Linked DNA regions of Styela clava. The protein of the gene in region 1 binds, or shares a complex with, the protein of each later gene. Links are inferred from orthologs where the notes say so. Each region holds a gene or a part of one and is shown in the gene's direction. Other genes may lie near its edges.

Region 1 (11,476 bases):
TTGTTGAAAATTGTAGGAGGCTTAGTGTATTATGCATGTTTTTGAAGAGAACTGCGCTGGGATATCGGTTTGGTGTCTGGCGCTGATACTGTAAGGTTTAGTATCTCATCTTCATTAAATCACTACAAGCCATGATTTCCGATTTATATCATGTTTGTTAAGTATTTATGTTGCAGTGATGGCTGTTTTCTGGTTTGCGAAACAATACATTTATCTCCTCTCATTTTAAAAATTAATAACTGCCTCTTATAGCAATGTCTATATAAACTATAGGCAATAGTTTCTTGGTCATGGCAACTTTATCACAATACTGATATTTTTTCAACTAGATTCCCTTTTCATTGTACAGTGTGGCAGGTACATTTTAAAATATATAACGGTGAAACAAGTTTCAAGTGAGTTACTATCACATTGATATCATTGCTGCACTCACCTAGAGGAAGTTAAATTATCGTTTTATCCCGGAAAATTCTGTTTCCTAATTCTATCATATTTTTGAACATGCTGTGAACCTGCCACCTGATCTTATAAGTCTGACTCTGTGGTGCAATTCGCTTTGGTAGTAGTTGAGTTAAAGTGCTATATAGTTTTAGTTTGTACTGTGTTTAATTAGTATTTTAAAGTAATAGATAGTTTTCTGTTTTTTAGGTTGTCAAAATGATATTTGGCTTTCGCTGTTTGGAAAGTAGCTGGTGTATGTTTGCGTCATGCCTGGAACTGAAAATAAATTCGTAGTGATTCAAACTGTTACTTGGCTATACGGTGTGATATTGTTAGAGTATTCCGATATAATTCATTATTTGGCCTGGACCAATGTGATAGAGCATTGAATCACCTAGTGATTTTGCCGGCTTTCGTCGCACAGGTAGTGCTGGATCATGGCCTTCAGACGCCCTAAGCACTTAAGACATTGGTGGTGCCCTATGTGTAAAATAATAATGACTGGCGTGTTCCATGTTATCTGAAATTGAATAATTAGGTTTCTGTATTCATTATTGATTGAAGGCCAAATTATGACTAATTTGATTGATATTTTTAGCAAATAGTTTTCATAACTAGAAACATTTATCTATAGGCTTAAGATGATACTTGAGAAAGAAAAATAAGCAAAATTAATTTGAACTTGGCCAATATTGAGGTCTGAATCGTCTATCCAATTGTTTCATTAAACACTGAGACAATATTGAAAATTTCTGTGGTGGCACCTTTTTCTTGCTGCTACGAGCATGTGCTTCTTGGTTAATTCAGTCTTGCCTACAACTTGCTTTTTATACGCCTGCAAATCCGTCTGCACAACAAACTCTTGTGTTGAAGTTACGGTCAAATGCTAGTTAAACGTTCAACGACTGGTGATTTTTAATAGTATTAAATAACGGACAAATGCTATTTAAACGTTTGACGACTGACGCTTTTTGACAGTATTGAAGTAACAGTGGAATGCTATTTAAGCGTTTAACAACCGACTCTTTTCAACAGTATTGCAGTTACGTTGAAATGCTATTTAAAAGTTCAACAACTTACGCTTTTTGACAGCATTGAAGTTACAGTGAAATGTAACAGTATTCATTACTGATTGACGGCCAAATTATGATTAATTTGCATGATATTTTTAGAAAATAGTTCTCCTGCCTTACAAACATTTGTTGAGGTTTACGAGGATATTTGAGAACGAAAAACATGCAAAAATTTATTATATCTGAACGGCAATATTGGAATTCTAGTAGTCAAACCAACTCGAATTATTTCATTGAACAGTGAGGCATCATTGAAAATTCGGCTATGAAAATTTATGTGGTGCTCGTGATTATCAGCTTATTTGTTAATCATCTCCCTGGACATAGGTCTGATTTAGATTTTTATGTATCTTAAAGTAAACCACTTCATCACCTATGCCCAATCAGTGTAGTTTTTCACGGCTTTTGACTGTCCTCGTCAGTGTCATCACATTGCATCCAACATGTTATCTTTGTATCAGATTGAATTGGTCCTAATTAGCTTATAGGTATATTAAAATGTTAGCACCTGAAAGTTCAATACACTCACGCACTTTTTGTGTGTTTATTTCTGATCCAAGCTTTGGATTTTTTGTAATTTTTTCTCACGTTTTAACCTTTTTAGGGTTTTACTCGCTCTCCAGAATTCTCTATTTTATTCTGTGTGTATTATGGAGTTTTCAAAATAAGCTGTATATATCTAAGCCAATGCTGGTTATCAAGCAGCGAAACTCGTGATTAAGTCTAAAATTGATTGAAGAAGGAATAGAAAAGGGACGAACAATTAATATTTGAAAAGTTTTATGTCAAAGAATCTAATCCGTTACAAACAAAGAACCCGATTACCGATAAATTAACCACAACCATGGGTAACAGCCAAGAATCCACATGGTAGGATTAATACAATTTGCGTGGAAGTGCTGTTCAATAACATTGTTTGGACCTCCTGAAGTATGCGCACCAAGATGGCGCACAACCTGAACTCAGGTTGTGTACCAGGTTAGGGTTCAGGTTATGCGACATCTTGGTGCGCATACTTCAGGAGTACCCATTGTTTTGATTGCTGTGAAGGGCGCGGCGTTCTGACAGAAGCCGAGTCCGAACCGGATATACATAACAAGACAGTTAATAGGCAATCCATTATGAAGTATATAAGCAGTGACAAGGTGGCATTTTTAGTGGAAGTATGCAAAAAGCAGGACGTCACAATACAGATACCTAAAATGTATACAAGATATATTCTTCGAGTGTAGCCAACGTAAGTGCTCAATTGAATTCTGCGATGTTCTGCCTCCCGATAGGTAGACTAATTGCCTGATTATCGAAGCGTCGCCTTTAAATTCACGCGCGGTGGGTATGCTTATAATCCAAATTAACATACATGAATCAGGTTTTTGGGGGATTATTGACAAGCCTTGTGTATTGGCTATATTTTACAGGTGTTGCAGTCCAGTCTCAAAAACGTCGATAAATCTGATCTTAAATACAAACACGGCAGCCAGATCAGAGAAGTCTTATTACTGTTAGGTTGACTTGCATTCAGTGGTGCTGTTTGCATTTTTCTTCTGAGCGCGACAAAAAGCGCATTTTATGAACACGAAACTCATTTAAAATTACACCATACAATGGGCATTATCAAAAATAAATAACTGTAGGCTATTTTAAATAATAAAAAAGTGCAATATTTGAACCATATAATCTCACCCTAACGGAACCGTACTTCGATTGAATTTCTGTAGTTTAATGTAATATAAAAATTGGTTGAAAGCTGTCGTAGTAGATTCGTTGACGAAAGGGAACAAGCGCAAGTCCAATTTGAGCAATATTTCTAATTGCTATAATACCAAGTATGTCTTTGTAATCATACGATGAGGAAATCCATACAACTCAAATACAGGGGGACTATATATATATTATGTTTTCATTTATCATTTTATTTATCAATTTGTTTTTAAAAGTACTAATAAATGCTGTCAGGTTGGTTAATGTAGCTAGCTAGCGTATTCCCACGCCATAGTATAATGTAGACGTATAGAAGAATAACAATCGATCACGCATCATTCTAATCTGCTAAAGTTTTGTGTATCTTTATATGCCCATGGAAGGGCATATCTGAAAACGCAATTTTTGATGAGGTTTATGTAATATTCATTATATATATACCCAAAGGTGACAGATGAATCGTCCTAAACGACTTCAATTTAGAACATTTCCTATCTTATTTACTAAATAGGAGAATGTGTAATGCATTTGCGACAGATAAGAAAACGAAAGGCCGTTACCAGTCAATAAGTTTCTTTTCTCTTCTGTGCGGCATGATTTATTTGATCGAGCATCTGTAATTCAATTAGCAATGAAAAACGAGACAAACAGAGGGAATTGGAAAATAAGGTTCCAGCAATTGGTTTGGTATCGACCCGCTCTAATCATGTCTCGCGCCTGAAGGAATTTTCTTTCGAGACACGTCGCTCAACGTAAACGAAGGCTCGTGACATACGGCCCCAGAAGGCGACCAAGGTAAATGAAGATGGACGGGCGAAAAATCTGTGCGCAGCCATATATTATCGACCCTAATTGCGAGCGAAATTGAAAAAAAGGAAGAATACCGTTTGCATAATTGAGTACCCAATACACAAAATTGATAGAAAGAAAACGTTAAGGCTAAGATGCAGTGTAGAAGACGCCTGGAAGTAGATAAGATTTTTAGCGTGAGCCTAGTGCGATTCTAATGCTACAATCGCAAAAATATTACTACAGTTCAATACGTAGTGTACTGGGAAAAGGATGCAGTCGATCCCCTGGCTTCTGGAAAGCCTCCCTGTGTATATTTGGTGTTATGATTGAAAACAACAACGTTAACATATAATTCTATTTTACAATATGCGCAAAAATATAAATTCAATTGTAATATTTTAATTCCCTGAGATTCACGTTGAGCCGCCAGAGATTCCGTCCAATTTTGATCTAGAAAGGATTTGATGAGCAAGACCACCTGTCGAGCGAATACTAAAAACGAATACTACAACATTATATTTTTAATTGGCCAACTTAATAGATGCTGTCAGACGAACCAATAGGCAACCGACTTTGACTTATACATATATATATATAGTTGCATGTCGAAATACTTGGTACCAGACTGTTTCTCTAATCGAGTTATTTATTTGTTGTATATTGTATCACAACCTATAGGTAGAAAAAGAATACCAGTAGAATGACTATATTATATTGATCAAAGGTGGTCTCCAGTTAATCTATTGAATTCTCTAGATATAGAATTTAGTGGGGGCCAAGTAGCATAAAATAGGCGCAGGCAAGGCGAGATTTCGCATGCTACAGGAACTGACAAATTTGTCCACTTTCGAAATTATAATATATGACACGGTTTTCATTTTTGTGATACAATTTTATCAACGACATTACTACGATAGTTTTAATCTTTTGACAATTATTCTGATAGTGTGATGCGACATTTATTTTAGTTGATACGGATAGTCAGGAACACTAACAAACACTCATGTGAAACTGATGATAACATATAGATCGCATGCCAATTGAAATGAGTGGAACTGCCAAATATTTATTGATTGTATTTTTAAAGTATGTATGAGAAGTATTTGAGTTGCTATTCTGCTTCAATTAATCAAGTTATATTTTGAGACGTAAACATGGAGATTTTACTTGCTTTTTTGTTTTAATAAGTTCTCATTCGAGACAGCGTAGAATTTATACCTGTCATTACAGTTTAGCGTGAATCCGATACGACTACTGTTGGGATTGACTGGAAATTAATATTTTATATGCCGTCAATCTTTCATGCAGACGTGATGTAAAATATGTCGTCGCCCTGCTGTACTACGCATAAATCCCCGCAAAGCGTGCATAATTAAATAAACGAACAAAGAATATGTGCCGTACCTGTTTATAGGTACACATGTTTCTGTAATCCCAATACCTTTTTGGGAATTATGCAAATTTTTTCGTTGCGATAAGATTTTGGTTTTGTAAGATTCGTCAGTTGCGAGAGGACACGCAGCTTTTTGGGTTCCATACCAACTCGAAATAGAAAATGGTTGTCCGACGCCATGTGAATGCTTGGCACTATAACGGTTCCGAATTTGATCAAAAGCATTTTTTAGTTCAATTTAAATTAAACTTGATGGTAAGGCCCACCCAACTCGCAACTCTAATTTGACATATACCATGTTTAACTCTGGTAGTAAACAAATGAAAAATTTGGCGAAGTTGATATATTAAGTTACCTCTGTATATGCCGCTACAGCGTGGGTTTACCCGTTTTCATTCCAAATTTGTTATTATTTGCCTGATAATATTATTTTCCTCTTCTATCATTTGGACTTTGAGTTATTTGCGTAAAGCTGTAGTCGGGGACATTATTTGACTCGATTTTCTACCAAACTAACTTTATTCAGTAGAACGATATAGATGGAAAATTGCGCGTTGTTCTTTCTTTCTGGTAGGTTTTCGGTGCGTATACTAGTTATTGATTGAAATGAACGATTTTCCTTGCTTCTAGTAAAGTTAACTCGGTTATGTAAGAATAAACGGAGAAAGGTTGAGTAATGACTTGACCCCACTTATACTAACCTTACATGGGACACAATTAAAGAAAACAGGATCGAAATGCAGTGGCTGGGGAAAACAAGATAGTACCGATAGCTCCACTCCACTTAGTATATTTCAAATGAATTGTTGATCAAGTTTACGTTTAAGGTAGGATGGTGTCATGTAATTTACGTTTCTTGAAAAATAGTTAACATTAGACACTGGTATAGTGCAGACATCAACGATGAATAGAATGAAGCAAATCAACGGCAAGCATATATAGCACTGAATAGAAGAATTATAGAATTTCAGATTGACCAGCACATTTTCATATACGTCAAGGCATGACCATACCTATCGAAATTTTATGGATATTAGTCATGGGTATAAAATAGACGAGGGAAAAGTCAGTGTCGCAATTGGAAAATGGTGGATAGGCTTCCATTCTCGTGTAGGATAATTTATTAATGACAATCAGCTAGCTAACAAAAAACTTTTTTATCATAAACAATAATTTTAAAAAATGGGATTTTCAAAGTGGAGTTGATTTTTTTCTTGCAAACAGAAGATAATATAATATTGTTTCGTTGTGAAAGTTCAAAATGGTGAAACGAAAATTTGATGATATTGTAATGCAAGGGCCTGAAACATCGTCCATACCTTTGGCTATCCAATCATTTTTATGGCGACAAACAGAGTAAGTAAATATTATTCTTTAAACCAAAGCATTGATTTACGAACAAATACATATAATAAATAATTAATATTGGAATCAAGAAATATAAATGAATATGCATATACAGTATATTTTATAAATTGTTCCTCCCGGTCGTACGGCAAAAGGCTTCGTACAAATGAAATTATTTGACTTTAAGGAAACTGAATTTCTAATTGTCATAGCCAAATGCTAAACTCTGGGTGGAATGTTGGACATATTATGTTGAATAACAGAATGATTACGAAGGCTCGAGATTTCTAACCTACAACGTTAAGGTGGTAGGAACTACGTGATAATGTTGTGGTTATTAATTGATATAAATAATGAGGTTCTACAACCAGACACTGCCGCAATATCAATATTTAGATTGCATCAAATTAACTGCATTTATATTTTAATAGACCCTTCTTTCGACAAAAGCTGGGAAAGCTATATGAAGCCTCGTGTGTGGTAAGTCAAAACATACTCCTTTTGAAAAAATCTAATCGCAAATTACTGTTCTTCCCATTAAATATATTTGGTTGTTTTCCAGCTATTTGAACATGTTCTAGTAGAAAACAAATTAAATGGACTTCCACCATCACTATACGAAGCTGTAACACGAACTCCTAGGCGTGTACTCATTGAAGCAGCCTTACCACATGTTATGCATTGTGCATCGGTGATGCTCAGCAACAGAAACAAATTGGGTATGAGAACGTTCATATTACGTCTTATACGTGACCTAGAAAGTGTGCATTATTACGATATATATGGCATCTAATGTATGTAACTCGATTATATTGGTTGGCATTGTATTCTTATTTGAATGAAGTATCGGTTTTAATGTTACTCCAGTTTGAATTGTTTGCCCAACGTGTCAGACGTTGAGAATAAATGACACTTGCCATCGTATCGCTGATTATCCAGCATGGGTTCGCAGGTTCGAATTCAGCGTTGGGTAATTAATATGCGCGAAGAGTCTCGTCTTAGTCCAAGGGCCTAGAACGCAATAGCAGTAAATTAACAATCAACTATTTCCATACCCGATCTGGACTGGCAGTCGCACGAGAGGCTGTGGTTCGCTATAAGTTTTGCTTTCATCTCTGAGATAAATTTAAAAATTTATCCTATACTGTTAAATATTTAGGAACATCGTCGATTGACTATTCTCATCAAAATCCATTAGACAAAATGGTGCAATAAGTATTAATATAATCTCTTTTTTGGTGGTGAAATAGTACAGCACTCAATTGATATTGATGAACTTGCGATTTAAGCTAGCGATGACGAGCCTTAGGCCGCAAACAAACTAAATTTGACTGTTGGTGAGCGCTAGATGCTTCCAGTCACTTCTTTCGTTTTTTTATTGGCCTTTGCTGCTGCCTTGGTTTCTTTCACACTATAATATACGCTAACGCGAATTTTTAATTGGAGACGTTTTTAATAAATCATGGAAAATCGCTTTCGGAAAGTGTGCTATCAATTAATGATAAGAGAAAGGCCTACTGTTTCTGAATAAACTGACGCACATGGCTAAAATATTACACGACCACAGCGGGCGCAAGCATATAGGTAAGACAATGGTCTTATTGAATGCCAGATGTATTTTCTCATATTCCGATATGTGATACGAGTTACCAGTGACGTTCAAATTATGTAGCTCTATGTGTAGAATATGGCTTTTGTTACAAACATTAAACCATAAGGATAGTTTAGAGTTTAAGCCACAAACAAAATTAAATTTGAATAGCCTAAAATTTAAAAGAAAATACATCTGACATTCGATAAAACCATCGTCTTACCTATGCTTGCGCCCGCTGTGGTCATGTAATTTAAGCCATGTGCGTCAGTTTATCCAGAAACAGTTGGCCTTTTTCTTATCATTAATTGATATCACACTATCCGAAAGTGATTCGCGTTAGCGCATATTGTAATATGAGCATTCCTATAATTATCCAAATACCAAATTATCCTACCTAATTCAGACTTGATTGAATTGCGTATTGAATTTTTTATGACTTTCTGGTACTTGGGTATTTCGTCATAGTATTTCGCGATAGCTCTTTACCATTCAATTTATATGAATAATCGTTATTTTTTTCGACCAAAGAGAAAACATGGAATAAATCTTTTATTCAGATGATATAGATCCTTTGAGAACATCCAAATTGCGAGTGGGTTCATTACGCAACATTAATTACTTTCGCTATATTGATAACCTATGGTCTCATCAAAAAATGAACTAACGTAGAAATGAAAATGATAGAACTATCGAATCAATCAATTCTCCTTTAATCGATCGAACGTCGGAGTGACTTGTGAGCCCAATTATAGATGAATTCAAGCCATATTACCTTGGCGTACTTCAATAACGCAATATGCTTTTTCCATCCAATACATCTTAGAGGTTGATTTATCGCTTTTTTATAAAGTGAAATTTTAATTCTGGTTAGCAAATTTTCTGGAGCGACTTTGTAGCAGAAATCGATTTTTTATCTATTTTATTTTTAGCCTTCACTGTTAAAAATAGAGCCACATTACAGTTAATTTATAGTTGTTCAGATTCACAACTAATTGGTTACTGTGTTGAAATACCTAAAATGAGATTTATTTTGTTTCATTTTTAACAGCGTACGTCGAAAACAAATCAAATAAAAATCGATCTCTTAGGCTGCAAGGTTTGATGTAAATTGCAGTCAAATAGGCTATCAAAAATGGAAATAATTCTTGAACACTATAGAAAAATGGAACTCTGCAAGAATTCGACTTGTACAGTTCTTACAATAACTAAAATAAGTAATTTCCGTCGAACATATTACATTTCACTTAAATTGTGGTAATTTTATGGCAGACAATAAATATGAAGATTGAAAACTTATATAAAAGGATGTGGATTTTTGATATTTTTTTTACTCCTATCTTGAAAATTGTAACCTAATCCTTCTTCCCGCTATCGCAGCATGGAAACTGAACTTTTCGAATAATTTTATTGCTCGAATCTCGCGAAGAAAGGCAACTTAGATTAAACATATTTCTCATTTTTTATGTGTTGAGATTGAACGAGCCTATGTTCGAAATGGCCTATGTTCGAAAAACATTCGTTTTTTATAGTCTAAACTTTGAAGGTCTGAATAATTATATTCAAGTGTCCCTCCAAGGACACCAATTAAATATTAAATAAATACAGTTCAGTGTGATATCCCAAGGGAGTATGTGTACCAAATTTTGTCAGTTATAAAATCAATTTTCTATTCTGGCTTTCAAATCTTGATTTATATTATTTTTGGAATCCTAAATCTTGGCCAAGAAACAATTCTAACGTTGATATGTAGAACGTTGAATCTGCATATAATATATATAATTTTTGCATTTAGACCAATATTCTATCATAATTTTACTATTTTCATGTTTTCTCCATATTATGCTTTAGAGTTCAAGTACCCTCTATGGAACTTTACTGTTTATAACGTGAACGTATTGTTTATACTTGTGAAATTCTACTGACCAATGAATATAGCGTTTTGAAGTATGGGGTGAATAGACTGCTCAGTCATGGATTAAAATATTATAAGCTGTTCTGAAATATATATATATATACATTTGAAAAATTGAAACTAGCTTCGAAGATGTATTTTATTATTGTATGAATTATGTATTACAGCTCACGTATATTTTTCATAGGCACATTAAGATTGATTGGGGTTTTTATCCGTCAATTCAAATCGCGTTTTTAAAGACCAACAGGAGCTTAACAAGGTCAAGCTCGAATGCATTACCATACAAATGTAGTCAATAGTCTTTTAACTAAGTTTAGGTATTCAAATCAAAATACTGCTATTTGTAATATTGACTTGCAACACTGTTTAATTTTTACAGGCCATGCGGACATACTTGGCGTTGCAGCAACCAAACTGCTGCACACATTTCACAGCATACTTTATGAAAGCATGGACACAGCTCAGGAGGCTAACGACGATACGGGACTTCGTGCTGGGGTTATTTCAAATATCCAACTTTTCGTATTTTTATTTGCTCCTCTTGCCAACACAGTGAAAGAATCAGATTTGAAGTTTCGATTAGCAAGGTAAAATGTTGCTTTTAATTGTCGCACAAACCGAGGATGTATAAGCCTTCCCCCGCGAGTAAAACACAAGATCGCTAATCCCGTTTTCAAGATAAAATAAACAGTTTTATTCCCGGGCATTTATTGCATCTGATTTGCTACTACTTCCTTGTCCTTCCATACATTTTTCTTGTATTTTCATAACTGAAAATCATTTTTTAGTGGAATAAAAACATGGGAAGCCTTGTGGAATCATGAAATACCAGATATACGTGCTATGAATTCTACGGTCAAACCCACGGTATGTAACGACAAACATTCAAGAGGAAATAGCACGTCAAAAGAAAACTGTGACGATGGTGATTCAGATAAGTGAGGAATATGTTTTCCTATTATATATTTAATAACTGAAGTATCGTGAGCTCGGTGGGTAGTGACTTTTGTGCTGCAAATTGCAATAGCGAGTCGAAGATTTTTGATTCTATTCTTGGCATATATATTTTTTTCTTCAATTAAAGCTAGGTATCTCCGACCCTCAAAATAATATCTATATTTCACTATTAAAAATTTTTTGATGCTTATTTCAATAGCGTTTTTGTGAGTGATCGCTTATAAGCTGGAGTATACTTTCATAGAGGAACTTGTGGATATTGT
Region 2 (11,336 bases), about 6.1 Mb from region 1:
ATTATTTTTAATAATGTGTTATGTATTTGACTGACTATCTGCTCCGGTAGGCTATATACGGCACTATGTGGATATTTAAATACAATTATATTTAAGTTAGGAATTGTTCACCCCCTTAAGAGGGATGTAAGGAGATCACTATGTAATACACTTAAAAGGTTACATATGGATCAATCGCATGAATTCCCCGTAATTGTGCCACGCCTTTTAATATACAAAATAATTGATGAGGTAGCGAAAACTCATCCACATTGTCTCACACAGACTCCTGCCAGCGTATTTCATATATCTATACTCTACAAACACAGTGTTACAACTGAGATGAATGAGAAAAACAATTGGCAAAAAAACATTCAAACAAAGCAGCTCATATATATAAATTTGTTCAAACGTAGCGAATTTGTAGGAATGAACTTTTGACAAAGTTCTGACACTATATCCATGTTCATTAATTACCCTTTTTAAAATTTAAATTTAAACAAATTAAATTTTACATCATCAGAAGTTAAGCCGAAAGGGCACACGTGAAAGATTGCCAATTTTTAGACCCACAGCGAGATAAACACCATTTTAATTTTGCAGGACGCTTTACGAGTATCATGTCGCGGGACTTCTACGTTAAAATACAAATGTGGTAGTAGGAAGTAATATGCGCAAAACCAGTAAGGTAAGAGGCAGATAATACGAGTTCATTTCCCGTAATATTGAATATGTCTAAAAACGGTATCAACCACATAAAAGAGTGAGATTTTTATTTGACCCTTTGATCACTGCAGTGGAACTGTTCATAGGAGCAGAATCTTCAGAATATTCGAATCGCGGGATTCGATAACGGTATTCTGTTTACACCTCTTCACAGGCTTGTCCATGGGACATATTTTTCTGTCCCATTACCATCCCATGAGATTCCCAGTGGAATACAATTCAATAAAAATTGTTAAATTTAGGTTTAGCGTCTACTAAATAGGACTACATGTACGAAGAGACATACAAAACAACAAAATTTACAGGCTTCGTCAACTTTATATTCATAAATATTATAAATGTGTCCATCAGCCCCTTCACGGAGTATATATATTGTTAATGGACAAGCCTGCCTCTTCAGAACTGTGCGGCGACTTCTACATTTTGCTTTAATTACCAATCAGATACCAGCGTCTTCTCTGGCATTACACACCTCGATTGCCCCGTTTGCTAGAGAAGCTCGCGTGTAGGTACAGCGGACACAGAACAATATATATGGAATGGATTCCTAATGGTGAAGTGTGTTGCACGGTGACCGTACATTTGAACCCATGTACATTTGAACCCATGCGTATATCCACGGGTTCAATCTATACTCGGGTGCTAAAACCCATGGGTTAGGGTTAGTATGGGTTTAACTATCCGTGAAACAAAAAAAATTCCATAGGTGCAATAGCATACAGGTGCAATCGTCATGGGTTCAAATGTAATGGAACCGTGTTGCACGCTTTGCGTTTTCAGCAAAGATTTACGATATAATCATTATTACATCTCAGTTACAAATAATCTTAATAATGTACAATTTCTTCAAAACTGATTGCGTCATCGCAAATTTATCTCTTGTTGCGTTTAATTCAAAGGAATATCATTAACTGTATTGGTAAGGAAGGTCCCAATAAATGTGAAAAATAAATAAAGTAACAAGATTGCTGATTATGAAAATTTGACAATGATAAATTCTGAATCAGTTTCCGGTAAAAATATCATATTGTTCACGATTTTATTGCAAAATCGTCTATTCAGTGTGCGCAGATAAAATCACGTGAATTTGCTTTGTAACCATTGTGGCGTAAAATGTTAAAACTATCACGTCAAACGTCACGCTGCGGTTAACCGGTTAATTTTACCCGGTTATCGATTATAGTGTTTTCCCTGAAATTCCCAGCCCTAACCATATAGTAATATTGCACACCGAAATGCGGTCTCATCACCAATATTCTATAAATTATATTTTATGCCGAAATTGGATGCGTTAGTTGGCCATACCTTGTAATACACTTTGTCACATAGCTAAATTCGCATCAAATTCCGCTCGACATAATGTGGCGCGAAGAGTTATTTCCCGTACGACAGTAATTTCTGATGTATGTGATCCTGCTTGCAAGCCAGACAATCTCATAAAATATTGCTAATTTGCATATGGATAATGGCTGTCGTGATGCCTGAAAATAAAATGACGTTTGTAATGAATATGACTTGTCCGAGTCGTACTTTGGGTTTGTTCATTTGGGCGCAAAAATGCAACTACTTTATTTTCAATATGTCGTCTGTTTGTGGTTTATGCAGAGGGTTCTTGGATCTTCAGCAGTCATTTTTTATTTTGTGAATTGTTTTAACTCACTATATCTGAGTAATTGCCTACAGCACAGACCAGCAGATTAATTCAGTTAATTCTGGTCTCATCTTGGCGAAACAAGTTCGGTCTGAATTTTCGATGGGTTAGACGCCTGTGGTGGTCATCGTCTAAAGATGAAAGTATAGGGGAGTTAGACACTATTCTGCGTGTTCTTCTCCAGTACTATTTGACGTACTCTAGTGGAGTAAACCCCAACTGAACTCAAATAAGCAAACAATAGCCTGTAATGCCAAATGTTCGTATATATATTGTATTGTGGGTAGCACGATCGAATTGGTCCAAATATCAGATAGTGAAGTACACTTAAAATCTTAAATTATATGTCATGAAACCAAATTCTCACTAGCCAAAAACGATTAACAAAGACAAGCAACACTGGGAGAGGGTGGAAATATACGAATTCAACTTTTTTGCCTAAAACGTCGTATGAAAACAATCCTATTGGAAACAAGAGAACTATGCTCGAATATATGGACACGTAGCGCCACCCAGTGGCAATAATTTTGATGACGTCATAGCGAAAAAAAAAGTAATAGCCTTCTGGAGAAAAATTTTATCTTTAACCACTGAAAATATCAAAGCAATTGGTCCAGTATTCGAAGAGAAAAGCGATTTTTTAAAAATGTAGACGGAGACAAATAACAATAACAACAAGAGAGCTATGCTCAAATATATGGACACGTAGAGTCACATAATTTTGATGACGTCATAGCGAAAAAAAAAGTAATAGCCTTCTGGAGAAAATTTTTATCTTTAACCACTAAAAATTTCAAAGCAATTGGTCCAGTATTCGAAGAGAAAAGCGACTTTTTAAAAACGTGTCAAAGAACAACAAGAACAAGAACAACAACAACATAATATTGAAACGATCGTTATGTCCACTACGTGTCCAACAAGAGAGCAATGCTCAAATATATAGACACGCAGAACAATTCCCCAAAAATCATATGCGGTGACCAACGACTAACATACCGGCGGTGACTTACCAGTACCTGTATCGGGGTACCGTGACGGTACAGGGACTGTCATAGATATTTTAGGTCCTGTGACAATTGAAACATCACATCAGTTGAAATATCTCGTGATATGAGTCAATTATGTACCGTATTATCGGATCAGGTATCGAACCACAGTCAAACATTTCACATAAAAACGTTACTAAATAACATGCGTCAACTTAACACCAGCCGAATCGGGGTACAATTTTTGGTACAGTGACTGTAATAGCCGTTTAGGGCTGATGGACAATTCGACTACACGGACAACTCACCAGGCCTAGGGTGGTGTAGCCAGTCTGCGGACAATTTCATTCAAACCGCTATAAAACAAAAACCAATATATCTAACCCGTTAATTTTTTCACCGTGGGTGCATTGGCGGCATTCATTCTACACGCTAAAGCTCGTATTAACTTTCTACGACAAAGGGTTAAAGCTATACAAATCCCCAAAGTACGGCACTCGAAAGACGTATTTGCGACCGAACGACCAGTGTGCGACCACGGATTTCAAGCCTTGATCATCGTTTCTGCTGCGTCGAGACTATCGCTTACGCAGCCATACAGCAATCAAACAGACAAAACACGGTGGTTGTAAATTGGTTGACAAAGATATTATAGGATAGGATTTACATATTTACCCCGGGGGAGAGGAAAGTCGATAAGACGGCTTATCCATATGGCGAACCACGGCCTCTCGTCCGGTTACCATTCCAAGTCGGGTAAGGGATTAGTTTTACTGTATATTTTGTTTTCGGAAGCATGGACTTGGTGGTGGAGGAAGCCGTAACCGACCAGCGGTTACGTGAACCACCCAACGACGGCGAGGAGTCCAGCAATCCTCTCGCACATATCCATCCATGCATGGGATCCGAACCTGCGAACCCACGCAGAGTAATTAGAGGTGCGGTGGCGAGCGTATTCCTAACGCTTAGCCCGTTGAGCCACACCGCCGCGCCATCGATCGCCATTATCGACGTATTAGGATAGGATTTACATATTTATCCCGGGGGAGAGAAGTAACTATCAAAGATGGTTAACACAACTCTACCCACCTGCCAAGTTTCATCTTTTTATCTCTTATATTTGTATGGATTTTCAAGCTTTTGACAGCTACGAGTTAGTTCAGTGTCACCGCGCTGTGTTACGGTACCAGAACCACTCTATCTTTAGAAGTTCCTGTCCTGTGACAGCGTGAAAATATTGGGCTTCTAATTGCATTTCTGGCCGTCATATATTTCAAGAACACGGTTATTTCGAACAAAACTCGTTAAATTATAAACAAAGCACCACATCACAGCAATCAAACAGACGAAAACACGGTGGCCGCAAATTGGTTGACAAAGATATTATCGACGTATCGGAAATGCACACCCCCTATTCCCCCTCCTTCAAATGTAGAAACGCGAAACTTTCAAATATGGTTAAAAGAAACACAATTCTACCCACCTGCCAAGTTTCATCTTTTTATTTCTCATATTTGTATGGATTTTCAAGCTTTTGACAGCTACGAGTTAGTTCAGTGTCACCGCGCTGTGTTACGGTACCAGAACCTCTCTATCTTTAGAAGGTCCTGTCTTGTGACAGCGTGAATTGAAATTGCAAGATGGTCCGTTGGACACAAAATGGCGTCCGAGATCCGTAAAACGTTTAGTGACGTCATAGCAAACCAAAACAAATCTTACAGAGCTAACAGAAATATTTGAAATAAATAAAAGTAATAGCCTTCTGGAGAAAAATTTTATCTTTAACCACTGAAAATTTCAAAGCAATTGGTCCAGTATTCGAAGAGAAAAGCGACTTTTTAAAAACGTGTCAAAGAACAAGAACAACAACAACATAATATTGAAACGATCGTTATGTCCACTTCGTGTCCAATAACAACAAGACAGCTACGCACAAATATATGGACACGTTAGACCAGAGCGAATCAGTCCTTACCGGTACCTTTGACGCTACCGGTACCCTCAAAAAAGTTCTGAATTTCCAGTAGCAAGAATTTTGCAGAATCAAAACGTACAGCCAGTCATGACACTGACTAAAATCCGTGTTCCCATGGATAAAAAATAATACAGCAAAATTTTAGACGAAATATCAAATTTCATAGAATTCACGCAAAATTTTGAAATAAATAAAAGTAATAGCCTTCTAGCGAAAAAATTAATCTTTAACCACTGAAAATTTCAAAGCAATTGGTCCAGTATTCGAAGAGAAAAGCGACTTTTTAAAAACGTGTCAAAGAACAAGAACAACAACAACATAATATTGAAACGATCGTTATGTCCACTTCGTGTCCAACAAGGGAGCAAAAGCTGAAATACATGGATAAGGATGCCGAAACGAAGTAGTGCATGAAAAAAGAAACTATTATCAATAAGTGTTTAAAAGTACTGAAATAGATAGTAACTACCTAATGTATTTGCTACAAAATGTATGATGAATGTATATTATTTATTTATCTAATTGAGAAAGTCGTCAATTTTTACAACAAATATCTCGACTTACTTGTATTGTCCTTTTCAAATATCAGTTGTGTTTTTGAAACTATCAATTAATTCAAAGCATTATTACAATTTTCTCTATTTCCAGCACATAGTCAGGCAAAATATTGAAATTTTTGGTGTCGTCAAAATAATATTATCAATCTTTCGAAATTGAACTACTATGTTTCAGCATTTTCGGGAGGCACAAAAAACACATGACTTATGCGAATTTTCATCTATTAGTTACCGAAGGTTTTGCAACTGAGCAAATCCAAAACGATCAATGTGGTAATGTTGTGAAACCTCTACCTTGCGTTCAGTTTGGAAATATACTGACCCAGTGGTAAGAGTCAAAACTTTAGCTAAGGGTTATCTTCTGTATTGAATTCACGCATTAACATAACACGCTTTAAATAGATCTAATACATAACCACATAAACATACATAACATACGTAAACGCCGAATGTAACGCTAATTGTCAGCTGCGGCGCACGTAATCTATATGCTTCGGTCGTCTAACGTCTAAAACAAAAATCAAGAACGGATTCGCGGGAACCCTCTCAATGCCACCACTGAATCAAATGCAAACGGGACATACTGGGCCTGATCAGTAAGTGAACCATGAAAACGTACGGTGTGGGGTATTGAAGCAATATTTTTGTTCATTTTGCGCCAAGAAATATTTATACGGAAAAGTTACATTTTTTAATAAAAAATATTGTTGCTGTGTGTGGCCTATCGTCTAATTAAGTTCATTAGTCATTAAACTCAAAACGAGAGAAAAGCAACGGAACAGTCGAAAAACAGTGTATTGGCTTTCAAAATTCTATTGATCGATCGATCGATCCCGTCTGTTTCGTCCCACGACGAATGGATAGACGTAGACCGTTCGCGCTCTATTGGATTTGCTGCTATATAGATCGTTTCTTTGTCAGCGTATTTGTGGGTTGCAACTTTTTTTAGGTAACGCAAAAACGAAAACAACATGAACGAAAACCTTCGAACCCACTGGATATACAGCAAGGTGAGTTTTAGCCTATTTAATCATAACTTTTTAGAATTTGCTATTCTCAGATTTGCCATACATTACATATCCTGCTGCTGATTGTATTTCATATTTCTGTATGTTGTTTGGTGCATTTTGTTACTGTAGCTTTAAATGCTTCGCGGAAGATAATCACATCACAGTATGGTTCGTGTAATGAATGGCCGATTGTTTGGATTCTAATTTTCTTCACGTTCAATAGCGTTGAACTATACCACGTTACTCTTATTGCCTAATCCAAGGATTTGAATCCCAAACTACTGGAATCCAATAGTGAAACCTTAACAAGGTCGATTTACACCTCTCTAAATGGCAATAAACGAATGCTAGACTATTCCAATTAAATTTTAAATTATTATCATCAAATATTGAATTCCGAATTCTTATTTAGGTCCGACACAACATAAATGTTAATCAAATCACTAAAATCCAACGGAATAGGAATTTTTATTATTGTTATCACAGTAAAGCAGATATAAAGAGAACATATGGCGTCTGTGATATGATTGAAATTTAAAACTATTTTTGCTTTTGAGAGAGAATTAGAAATCACCACAGTATTTATACTCATGAATTGTAGCTTGTACCTGGGCAGGCACAGAATTAATAGCAAATAGGAATGCAGTGAAATGGTTTTATGTGACTAATTTTTGTTATAAATACAGACTGGGTGTCGTCAGCGTGAGTGTTATTTGGCCCGCCAACACAAGTACGACAGATTCCGCCACTATCTGACAAGTATCTCTCCATGCAAGTATTAAGTCTTGTGCCATCGCTGACTTCGATGATTATTTTTTGCTCGCGAAGCAGAACTATTATATTAAATATTGTTCAACTACGGACAATGACGAATATTTTTGTCGCTCGCGAAACCTACGGTTCAGTCAGAAAAGCGCAATAGTCATTACGCGATCTTCTCTGTCAACGAGACACTGAAGATAATTATTTGAAGGAGTGAATCCACAACCCAGATTTTCAACTGCCAATAAAAAGGAGTATTAAGGCTGAAAAATAGTGTTATAAGGTATTCAAATCGACACTGGTTTAATTCATGACGACTTTTTTAGATCTCCCTTATATCTTCTCACAATTTAACCCCGCGACTTTGCGTATTGCGTATTGCGAAAGTATGAGCAATACTTTCATCAACGACACCTTTATAACGACTGAAATAATTTTTGGAATTCGCTCGCATTGTGCTAGCTTAGGAATTCAATAATACCACACACGTCAAAAACGAACTCCGGGATGTTGAGGTAAGGTTATACAAATTCTATTTTAGACACTACAAAACTCAAGAAACTCATAAGTTTCTCGTTAAACCCTGTTACGATTTAAACTGAAGATGAAGCACACAATTAATTACGTGCGCAATGTGTCCCCTTTTCGTATAACCATCGCAAAGTACATTTAAGTAAAACGTCTCCGACGGCGGCGCCCAGAATGCTTGCTGGTGTAAAATAAAATTTTATAATATTATAAACACTAGAAACGATTTTCGGACATCCGGGGTATTGCAATCGACTATTTGATTTGAATGCCCATACTTGTATAAGAATATACTTTGCACATATCAGTTTTATAAATATTGTGTTGCACTATTTTGCGTCATTGAATTACTAATTAAAACATGAACGGATTGATACACATAGTTTAATTCAATGACTGGCCGGCATTTGAAACAATGGCAATTTCGTCATGTACTTAATGTGTGATTATCATTCTTATATTTGTTCCGCAGGCATAAGTAATTTTCTGTGTGGAGCAGAAGACTTTTTTAACTATCTCGATGGTAATAAATAGCCAAACGTATTTATAGTGTGCATTGTGAATCTCCCGACTTTTGTTTTATTGTGTTCGCTGGGATTCTGTTTGCAGCAAAATGTGACATTGTACTTTGAATTATATTATTAATTGATTGTAGGTAATAGATTTGGTATTCTTATCATTTAAGTCATGGGCTTTAAAGAATCAATAAAACATACATAACATGGCTAAATATCAAGTGTAATTTCAAATACTAGTCTCCATAATCTTTCTATTCTGTATTTGCAATGACTTCTCATTCTCTTATGTGTATGTTTCAGAGTACTCGACGGTTTGTTGTCTCATGTGCATTGCTGAGTTTCGTATCTGTTTGTGCAAATACTCCAGAAACAATACAAGCTTATCCTGTCTTCAACTCAATCACTATATTTGCTGACATATTTGCTGGGATTGTTCTCTCTGTTGAAATGTTATTCAAAATATATTTGAAAGGAATGATAAAGGTGAAATTTCACACTGCTGAATGTCAGTTGTGTCAATGTATATTTAGTAGAATAATTAAATAAACAATGAAACAATGATGAAAACATAAATTTCTGATTTTCAAACCCTCATAACTTTTTATTGAAATACTTATGGTGAATATTGCTTCAAACTTTGATCAGATATGAGATTAAAGAACACCTATTTTCTTGTAATATCTCCAAATACAGATTTTTTCAAAATTTGCCTTTTTGTCCAGAAACCAAAGCATTATTTTAAAGGCGAAATCTTAATAATAATATTACAGCTTTTGGATGTTAAGCCTGATTGAACGTTCTTCATATCGTATAAGTATAACCAATCTCATTCTTTTATTTCAGGGTGATAAACCATACTTCAAAGATGTTTCTTGTGTGTTTGATTGTGTCGATACAATATTCATATGGATTTCAGTTATGGTGCAGGTACACAGGAATCGAATTTCATCCTTATTACCAGTATTTAATAATTAAACATGTTATTGACAATTGTTGTATATATTATATTTACCTTAGTATAATTGGTTAGAGCACAAAAATCATCTTAAATAATCTGCACAATATACAAACATCACTGTGATTTCAAGTTGAAATTTTCAACTTCCAAAATGTTTTAAGATGTATATTCGGAATATGGAGATAAACAAGTTGGCCCAGTCTTGACAATGACAACACTTAACTACTTGATGAATTCAGTTTTATCGAATGGATATTTGTTTATACTTCAGGCAGTAGAGTTATCCCAGCATGAGCATGAGCATGAGTATGAAGATCCGGAAATTGCTCCAATATTGCCACTTGGCTTATCTCGTGTACCACGCGCTCTTGTAATAATCAGAGCTTTCAGATATTTTCTGTCATCGGGAAGTGGTCAAGTGACCGCAATTGTGCTGTGAGTTGTTATATGCATTACTTTTTTCTATAATTTGATGTACAAGAAGGCCCTTCATATCAGAGTTTTGAAATTCTTAATGTTTTACACCATACTTCTCAAAGATAATGATTCAATTAAGACATTTTTTATTCAATGCTTATTTATTTTGTTTTTTCTGAACGTGGCCTTATACAAGCTTCCACTGATATCTAATGATGTGTGGAGAGCTGCTATTTTTTGAAAAACTGCTAATTCTCGGTTTATCAATGCCCACCCAATCTATTTCACCCTGGGTGAGGTGGTGGACACGGAAATTAAACCAGGAATGTGTGACCTGCAATGCTAACATAGTTAAGCCTAACGCTTTACCCACTATGCCATCATGTCCACCAAAATATGCAAAATTAAATATAGAAAATTTAGTGCAGAAAATGTGTATGTACACAAATAAACACCAAGTTTCTAAAATGGGAATCAGATTCCACTGTTTTTTTAAATTGGTTGGTTTGGATAAAAATTCGTAAAATATTAATCAATATTGAATGATTAAAAACTTTCTTACATTTCAGGCGGGCTAGTCAACATATTGCTGGGGTGACTCTGTTTTTGGTCTTCTTCATTTTATTGTATGGGATTCTTGGTGTTCAAATGTTTGGTGACTTTTCATATCATTGTGTAACAAAAGATACTGATCCTAGGTAAGTATGTAGGCTTGTGCATTCCAGAATAATATATGAAAAGGTAGATTTAGTATATTTCATTTTGGGTGATTTTATATCCTTTACACTCTTAGTTGTGCTCATTTTTCACACTAATCTATGCCAGTCCCCAGCCTTTGCCTCGGTTTTCAACTTATTTTGTTAATGAATATATTTATGGGATGAGCATACAAATAATAAAGTTGGATACTGTTGTAAAATGTCTGCTGCAGTATTACATCACAAAGTACAGTTTTAATTTCTGTACATCTCACACACACCCATTCATAAACAGTTGCCTCTCGCTGCAGTTCAAAGCGCAAAATCATGATAAAGCACATAAATGACATTCATCCATTATTCCCCTAGCCAGAAAAAAACTCCGGCTTGTAAGATTTCTATAGGTATCCCAGGGAAAAGAAAAGATGGCTTAATTATAATGACAAACCATGGCTTCTCGTCTGTTTACCAGTCCATGTCGTGTATGGAAATGGTTAACCAGTTGATTGTTTCAGATGCATGGAATTGATGGTGAAGGGAACCTTAACCGACTATCGCAGTTAGCTGAACC

What was found.
Region 2: the proteins of protein unc-80 homolog (region 1) and sodium leak channel NALCN-like are in contact, whole or in part, in a cryo-EM structure (PDB 7SX3), measured with the Homo sapiens proteins. The link is inferred for Styela clava from reciprocal best matches to the Homo sapiens genes UNC80 and NALCN. Residues at the interface, in NP_115893.1 of Homo sapiens: Lys1979, Asn2004, Glu2005, Cys2006, Asp2007, Leu2128, Arg2129, Leu2130, Pro2131, Pro2134, Arg2135, Ile2138, Asp2139, Phe2142, Phe2145, Ser2146, Glu2179, Asp2184, Glu2185, Met2187, Leu2188, Asn2191, Asn2194, Ile2198, Leu2199, Glu2202, Ser2226, Leu2227, Ser2228, Gln2231; in NP_001337678.1 of Homo sapiens: Asn639, Met643, Val644, Ile646, Lys648, Leu649, Pro650, Phe653, Val655, Pro656, Lys657, Ile658, Arg659, Glu660, Phe662, Met663, Lys664, Gln665, Phe666, Ile667, Arg669, Val711, Ser713, Arg715, Ala716, Arg717, Leu719, Lys722, Glu723, Ala725.

Annotation. Positions count from the first base shown.
Region 1 is NC_135251.1:23,383,191-23,394,666, forward strand, and holds the start of protein unc-80 homolog, read left to right. Parts: upstream 1-6,601; 5' UTR 6,602-6,661; coding exon 6,662-6,756; intron 6,757-7,178; coding exon 7,179-7,227; intron 7,228-7,309; coding exon 7,310-7,466; intron 7,467-10,635; coding exon 10,636-10,843; intron 10,844-11,044; coding exon 11,045-11,194; intron 11,195-11,476. UniProt on the Homo sapiens protein: Auxiliary subunit of the NALCN sodium channel complex, a voltage-gated ion channel responsible for the resting Na(+) permeability that controls neuronal excitability.
Region 2 is NC_135251.1:29,476,518-29,487,853, reverse strand, and holds the start of sodium leak channel NALCN-like, read left to right. Parts: upstream 1-6,514; 5' UTR 6,515-6,845; coding exon 6,846-6,884; intron 6,885-8,992; coding exon 8,993-9,175; intron 9,176-9,535; coding exon 9,536-9,619; intron 9,620-9,921; coding exon 9,922-10,085; intron 10,086-10,636; coding exon 10,637-10,765; intron 10,766-11,336. UniProt on the Homo sapiens protein: Voltage-gated ion channel responsible for the resting Na(+) permeability that controls neuronal excitability. NALCN channel functions as a multi-protein complex, which consists at least of NALCN, NALF1, UNC79 and UNC80.